Linked DNA regions of Macaca fascicularis. The protein of the gene in region 2 purifies or fractionates together with the protein of the main gene of each other region. This does not show direct contact. Links are inferred from orthologs where the notes say so. Each region holds a gene or a part of one and is shown on either strand. Other genes may lie near its edges.

Region 1 (3,813 bases), on a different chromosome or scaffold from region 2:
TGCTTCGCTGTAGAATCAGGAGGCGACTGCAGCAGCAGAACACTGCCACCCTAGAATCCAGAGCTATTGCACAAAATTCACACACAGGTGTGGGTGTGACGTGTGGCCATAAGCATCTCCTTCCTTTACTGCACAGTTTCTGAGTGTAGTGGAGCTTGAGGAGGGTGAGCCTGACACCCACCCTTCTCCTCACTGCCTTCCTCCCTTCTCAGCACCTCGTAACTGAGGCTGCTTGAAGGAAAGGAAGCATCAGAGATGATTCCCGAGGTGTTTTTAGGACAGGAAGCACTGGCCTGGGGCAGGCTCTGCAGTTGGGTATGACCTGCCGTACTTTACCTGGAACCAGAGATTCCTGGGAAGGAGGCTCTCAGTGCTGAAATGGTGACATGGGGAAGACGTGGTCCCTTCCATCTCAGGGGGAGGTTTCCTGAGGTATCATTAGACATTCTTTTTTAGACTAAAATTTTTCCTAAGGGGTTACCGTCTCCTTTCTTTGCCTTTCCTCAATGGAAGAATATTTGACTATTTGATCCAAGCTCCCTTGCCACTCCAAATCTGTTAGAAATGTAAGTCAGAATGGAGCCCCTTCATAGTGGCTCACACGTATAATCCTAGGACTTTGGGAGGCCGAGGCGGGAGCATTGCTTGAGGCCAGGGGTTCGAGACCAGCTCAGGCAATATAGTGAGATCTCGCCTCTATTTCAAAAAAAAAAAAAAAAAAAAAAAAAAAAGAGCCTCTTGTTACTGATACCCAGGGTCCACTCTAGTGGGTCTGAGTCCTTCCTATTTCCACCAGGATTGCTGAGCGGCACTGCTAAGGAGGGGCTTTCCTGACCCTCATGCTGGGCCTTACACTCTCCTCAGGGCTGTTGGAGTTCCAATTTGGACCCTGAAATCTGGGCTGGTGTGCTCGATGTGACTGTGTGTCACCCTCCTGTGAAGGCTGGGAGTAAAAGAGACTCTGTTCATAGCCTCCAAATCAGCTGCCCTGGCCCTGCTGTGTGGGGTAGCCCTTTTAGTTCTTGCCTCACTTCTCTCTTTAAAGGAACAGATCCTGAAAGGCGTGGTTTAGAGCTCCCCCTGCTTCCCTTTACTGCCATGGCCTTCTGTGGTCGTGAGCAGGCCTGAGGGAGTGTGTACCGTGAACACACCACCTTTGCATCATGAATCCTGAACCTTAAGATTAAGCCTGTTACTCTGCACCCAACTCCATGGAAGCATTTCATAGGAAGCGTTTGAGTTAAGTGAGCTGAGATGCTGTGGGATGTTGACCAGGCCTGTGAGGAGAACTGAATGCCTTTGTCTCCAGTCTTGGTTGATTTGAGGTTGTAATCAGCTGACCCTGTTTCTCTGTGTCATCAAGGAACACAGGGTTGTGTAACACTTCTTGCCTGTCAGTCTTCCTAAAATTCTGCTAGAGTATATCCAAGATACCCAGAAGATGGCATTAGAATATGTTTCAGGGATGCTAAGAAACTTTAAACTTAATACCACAAGAACGTCTTTGGAGGTCCTTGAGAGAACCATTCCTTCCACGGTGTGCTGAGTGCCAGCTGGGCAGCCCACCTGGTGTTTCCCGTAGGCAGCGAGTACCTGGGGGTCACCTGCTGCTTGGCTGAGGCCAGCTCTAAGGACACGTATCAACACAAAGGTGTCCAAGAATATTAATCTCACCAGATACTCAGGAAACACTTCGCATCCCTCAGGCTGCCTGTCGGTGCAGGGCGGGGATTGTTAGCGGGTTCTCTCACAGCAGCAGCATCCTGGCAGCTCCAGTCCTCCCCCCTGACTCTCCTTTTCCTTTATTCCCTGGGACCTATCACTTTATAACCTACCATGTCATTTACTTGTTATGGTTGCTTATTGTTGTCTGACTCCCAGCTGGAGTGTAATCTCAGCAGGGATCTGTGTGTGTTTCGCTCACTTGTGTCTCCCAAGTGCCTAGACAGTAAATCTGTGTTAACTGAGGGACTTAGAAGACCCAGTCAACAAGGTACACTATGTCTAGGCAAAGAGATGGTGTCAGTGGAGCCGGCGACAGTGCCGTGGCCAGCTCCACACCAGATTAACAACCAGCAGGTTGACAGTGGCCACCCAGCTTGTGGATGCTGGGACTGAAAGAAGCCTCTGCAGTCAGGTGTTAGGGTGTAGACAGTGCTGCTCTCGGTAGGTGAGGCTGCAGCATGGGTCTGCTGGTCCGGTGTGGACAACAGAGGGGTGCCAGGGCAGGCCATAGGGGGCACCTGAGAGGAAGAAGGCAAGACGTGATTTCTAGACACCTACAGACATCATTTCAGATATGATAGCGATAGAATTGGATAGACCAAGGCTGAGATTAATAGCTGAGTTGCAGAGAAAGCAGACTTACCTGTCCAGAGTCCAAGTGTAACCATGCCTAATATGAAAGATGATGGAATGTGAGACCTGACACGTATCCACACTGGAGTGACGGTGGGGGTGGTTCTGATCCCAGGGCGTGTTTACTGCATGGGGTTCCTGGTTATTTGTCTGAGGGCAGAGACACTGGGCGGTTGTTAATGCCTGGCAACATCTTTGTGTGTGTATGCAGGAGAAATACTGTTACATTTGCCCTGATATAGTCAAGGAATTTGCCAAGTATGATGTGGATCCCCGGAAGTGGATCAAACAGTACACGGGTATCAACGCAATCAACCAGAAGAAGTTTGTTATAGACGTTGGTTATGAAAGGTTCCTGGGACCTGAAATATTCTTTCACCCGGAGGTAAGATGTTTCCTTTTGTGTGTGCTCAAGTGTGTGGGATGGAGCTGTACTGCCACCCAGAGTGCGGAAAGAGCATTTCCCAGCAAAGGGCCTGTGAGCAGGGCGGCCGTCGTTCTGTCTCCCCGCATCCCCCGTGCCGTTTGTCTGCTTGACAGATTGTTCAGTTTGCCTCTCCTCTTGGCTGTCTGTGTTAATAATTAAAGATGGGTTATACCACAAATAGGAAGACTTATAGGAGCAATAGACGATAATAGAACTAAAAGTAATCTTCAAGGGTTGTGGGTGGTCACATGCTAGTATTACGAGTAGCTATAATCTCAAGGACTATGTGGAGGTTGCCTGTGCCTCAGAGTGGGATAACATATAACCTTTCCATCTTTGGTGATTGCCCTTCCTAACTTCTAATTTTAACCCCGGACAGTTGATCCTGCTCTGTTCCCTGCTGCAAGTTAGGTTAATCTTCTGTCTAAGGCCAGCGTTTCTGTTATTTAGGTAATCTTAAGAATTAGAAATGTCATCATTTTAACTAGTAGTTGTAAGGAATTATTAGTACTTTTGCAGAAAGCAGTAATTAAGAGGCACATTTTAAGATTTACATATAATGCATTTTATTTATATTTTGATATATATTCCTGGCTACTTCAGTTTGTATTCAATAGGTGGGTTACAAGCTGCTGTTTGGTTTTAGATATGTATATGGCTGTTTTGTGCAGAGAAACAGCATGGAAAGTATACCTCACTAGTAATCCGAAGAATAAAACGATGGCAATGATAATCCAGCGAATGCCCGCTTTTAATCTGTGGATTTGAAGTGGACATAGAACGGTTAAATGTCCAGTGAACAGCTTGTGAGCCCCTGAGTGGCCTCCTCCTTCCTCTGAGAGTGCACATTCTTTGATTTTTAACATATTTCAAATGAAACATAATTGAGTTGATGCTTATTTAACTCATGGAATTGAATCTAAGGCTGTTTATTCAATAACATGATTATCATGTGGATTGTTTCATTTTAAACAAACACTTCTCGTTAAACAAAACACTTCCCTCCATCTTCTAGACCAGGTTTAATT
Region 2 (4,310 bases):
TCACTGCGTCTTACCATGCAGCATTATCATAACTACATTACAGGGCTATTTTTTCACGTGAAATTTTTACCTATCAAACTACATTATAAACTCTTCTATGTCAAAGTTAGCAAACGGTTAAAATATTGGTTTTTTTTTTGCAACTGCAGAGGATTTTACTAAGAATAAGGTATCAGCAGAGATCACTGTGTTGTAGTCTGCGACTCACCTTCACTGCCTGACTCTTGGTGTTGATAGGGGGGTTCTTCAGAGCTGCCTGTAGGGCAGCTGTCATGTTTCCTGTGATGGAAGTTAAGGGTGTAGCAGCAAAGCATGGCCCCCAGGAAAGTATTATAACCACTGGTTCTGAAGACTTGCTTTATATATAAAAAGAAAATTACTGGTCACCATGTTCAATACTGGAAATTCAATGTGTTGGTTTCCAGGATGTTAATCAAGGGCAAGATATCAAAAGCAAAACAGAACATTAGACTTTCTTTTTAATAAAGCAAAGACTGTTTCACCCTTGGTTCTAACTATCAAATGAACACCTTGATAGTCTTTCATTGCCCAGTGAGATACATATGCAAACATTACCTAGAGTGGTGTTAAAGAAATCCTAGGCCGGGCGCGGTGGCTCAAGCCTGTAATCCCAGCACTTTGGGAGGCCGAGACCGGCGGATCACGAGGTCAGGAGATCGAGACCATCCTGGCGAACACGGTGAAACCCCGTCTCTACTAAAAAATACAAAAAACTAGCCGGGCGAAGTGGCGGGCGCCTGTAATCCCAGCTACTCGGGAGGCTGAGGCAGGAGAATGGCTAAACCCGGGAGGCGGAGCTTGCAGTAAGCTGAGATCCGGCCACTGCACTCCAGCCTGGGTGACAGAGCGAGACTCCCGTCTCAAAAAAAAAAAAAAAAAAAAAAGAAATCCTAAAATATGTATCAGAATTATTAGTCCCCCAAATGAAATAACCTATTATCAACCAAAATATGTCTTTTCCTGTGATTCTAATTGAAAAAATAAAGACCAAACTTTTACTATATTCTATATTAACTGAAATGCTGGTAGAACATGCTGGCAGATTAGCAATCTCAATGATACACATTAGCAGTCTCTCAATATTGATGAAAAGAGGCATCACAGAAGATGTAATAATTCATATGTCCCTTAGGTGGCAGCTTAATTTTTTGCTTTAGATATTTTCTCTCATATTTCACAACGGTTATTCAAACTGTGTTAGACCATACCTATTAAATTCAGACTCTCTTTGAAAGCACTAGTGAGTTAGCAAGCATGAGAAACAGAAGGCCAATCAGACTGTCAGAATGTACCAGACATTCCCCTAAAAGGAAAACCACAGAGTTCACTTGTTCCTCCATCTCTAGTACCCCACCACTAGGGCTGTCTTTCCTGGCTGTATGTAAGGGTAAGACAAGACAGTATCTTTTTATTTTAAGATGTACTGATCAAAAAGCGGATCCACTGATATGGACACAGCAGTCACCATAAATTACCTAAAATACATTGGGGTTTCATAAAACACCATCTATCCATCACAAATGTTTTTAGGAAGCATGTTCACCATTTATCTTCCGAAGAAAAAGTTCTCACACACACAAAATCTCTGGTTGACAAGCTGTTATTTTCAAGGCTGCAAGGATTTCTAGAGAAGCATGCCTCATGTGATTAGCTCATTTTGTATGACCCCAAGCACTTATTTAAATAATGCAAAAGAGCAACAGCTAATTAATTGTGAAAGTTGTGGCAATCAAAGGACTAGCTATATATTGATAAATGTCTAATGCTGTATTTAGGTGCCTTTAAAAAAGGATACTGTTGCCATTAAATATTTTCACTCACATTTTCCTCATATAACAGGACATTGAGTCTTCCTTATGAATACACCCAATAATTAGAAATGCATAAAAAGCCAGTGTTTGAGATTTTCTAAAACTATAGCTTCGGTTTTTTGCAACATTTACATTTTTCTAAAAAAGATGTAATGCAAATACGGAGTCAAAGTTATGAATATTCAAATATGCAAAAACAGAAACCGGGAACTGACAGCCATATTTTAACTAAAATGGAATCAATTTTAGGAATACAAAAAATTGTATTCATTCCCCTCCCCCGGTTAACAAATTCTGTGCAATGTATATTTTGTCAAATCCCCCCCTCCCTTTTTTTTCTTTTTTTAAAGGCCAATGGGCTGAAAGCATAGGGGACCTCAATTTTCAAACCGTACCATCTACCTTCTGCCCCCGGTAAGGAATAAACTATCTTAATGCTAGCAATAACAAAAACACAACAAAAAACAAAATCACTAAGGAAAGACGCAGGTTCCCCACAATCAGAAATTTCTGGAGCTAATGTGACTCCGGGAAATAGAGTTGTAGGAAGAAAAACTTAGGCGCTCGGCACCAGCCTTCCCCACCAGCCCGGGCCGCCTTCCCCAACGCCGCGAAGGCGCGGCCGGCGGGACCGGTTCCCGAGGCAGGCAGGCACTCGGGTGCAACCTGAGGAATCTGGGGGCGTGGAAGGCGCGCGGGGGAGGGCAGGCTTCCAAGAGTGGGACCCTCGCGTCTCCTGGCTCCTGAGTAGGAAACGGGGGCTTCCTCCTGCCCTCTCAGAGCGGGAGACCCCAAAGAGACAGGTTTAGCCGCAGGTAGACAGGGCAGCTCCGCGCCGGGGCCCCGCGGAACCTTCAGGCTCCCGGGTCTCTGGACAAGGGCGGGCTGGGCTGGGCTAGGGTGGGGAGGGCGGCGAATGCAAGGATATTGCCGTAGGCAGGAGTCCACCTCGCCCTCATCGGGCCCGGCCTGGCCGTCGCCCCCATCTTCTTCGTCCACGAACTTGTTCTCGTCATATTCATCCACGTCCACCTTCCGGAACCGGGCTGACGACACTGTGTTCTTCGACATCCCAATCCCTACCAGCGGCAAAGGCCTCTTCTTGGAGCTGCCTCTACCTCAGCAAGCCGAGCCCAGCAGCCCACTGCCCGGCGCCTGATTCACTTCCCTCTTCCGCTCTGGGGCGTCGCCGGCTGCCGTGGCTGGGACGGTTCTGGGCCTGCGCGCCAACCCTGCTGCTTCCTCCTCAGGTTCACGCTCTCCTGGCGCCTCCCACGCCGCCCCCACTCTTTCACGGAGAGCGCGCGCGGGGGAGGGAGCGCGCAGGACACAGCGCGCAGGCGCGGGCTCTCCGTAGGCAAGGGGCGGGGCTGGGCGAAGGAGGAGGGGGCGAGAGGGAGGGCCGAAACCTGGATCGCGGGCGGAGGTAAGAAACGATTGGTCGTCCGAGTGCGTCACGTGATTCCCAGGGGGTTCCCATAGAAACGCTTTTCTGCGGTCCAGTCTAGGGGGTCTGAGGTTGTCGGTGATGGGCAGCAGCGGCAGGTGGCATTGACTTCTGCTGCAGCCGTCAACGACCTGTCATCCGGGTCCTGCGTAAGGTCCGACTGGCTGGGACTTGGATGTGGGTGGGATGGACTTGGCTGCCGGACCGAGTGCCCTGCAGTTGGCAGGAGTATGAGGCGGAGTGATGCACACCCGGGCGCCCAGCATCGTTCTAATTGCCGGAGACGTTACCTCGGACTGTGCGCTGCTAGGGGCTGCGTTCCTGAGCGGGAAGCCCGTTTCCTGGGGTTGGAACTACCCTACTTGGCCAGCGGGAGGTCCCCAAGGACGGAGTCGAAAGGTCAAATCTTATCTGTCAGTGCTGTGTGACAGCATCACGACGGGATCTGCAGAACCTGAACTCGGTATCAAATCTACTGGGAGGGAGGGGAATGTGTCCGGGCAGGCGCTGGGGTCGGTTGGCAAAACTGGGGTGAATTTGTAGAATTTGGGAAAGGGTCATTGACATCTTAAAATAGGTGGTTGTTTGGAGCAAGAATGCTGAAAAGGGGTGAGGGTAGGTTAGGCTCTCTAGTGCTGGGGGAAAACAAAATGGGTAAGGATTGGTGGAAACCAGACCTTTAAGATTTATATTATGATTTAAGATTTATATGATTCCATCTAGGCCAGATTTTAAAAAAAATATTTGACATCCCCATTTCCGGAATGTAGGAGATAAAGGCACTAAGACGAAGGAAATGGTAGTTGTGCTGTGTGTATTACACTGAAGAACAAATATTTGCAGGATAAAATTAATTTGGACATTTGGCTGGACATTGCTCAGGTATGGGTCTAGTTTAGTTGGACCTCGAACAGAAGACTGGCTGTTGTCCTGTTGTGTGCCACAATCTTTGGTTTCCAGTGCTGTGTTGAAAAGAGCACTGGGCTTATAATCAGAAAACTCAGGCTTAAGTCTTGACTCTTCCGCTCATA

Evidence for each region.
Region 1: the proteins of ARPC5 (region 2) and ACTR3B purify together in Homo sapiens (affinity purification with mass spectrometry; 5 studies listed by BioGRID and IntAct, counting the BioPlex papers as one, with this or other methods). This does not show direct contact. The link is inferred for Macaca fascicularis from reciprocal best matches to the Homo sapiens genes ARPC5 and ACTR3B.

The regions. Positions count from the first base shown.
Region 1 is NC_088377.1:194,089,275-194,093,087, forward strand, and holds part of ACTR3B (actin-related protein 3B), read left to right. Parts: intron 1-2,569; coding exon 2,570-2,743; intron 2,744-3,813. UniProt on the Homo sapiens protein: Plays a role in the organization of the actin cytoskeleton.
Region 2 is NC_088375.1:41,179,711-41,184,020, forward strand, and holds the start of ARPC5 (actin-related protein 2/3 complex subunit 5), read right to left. Parts: upstream 3,013-4,310; 5' UTR 2,904-3,012; coding exon 2,760-2,903; exon of another isoform or gene 1,817-2,759; intron 281-1,816; coding exon 209-280; intron 1-208. UniProt on the Homo sapiens protein: Component of the Arp2/3 complex, a multiprotein complex that mediates actin polymerization upon stimulation by nucleation-promoting factor (NPF).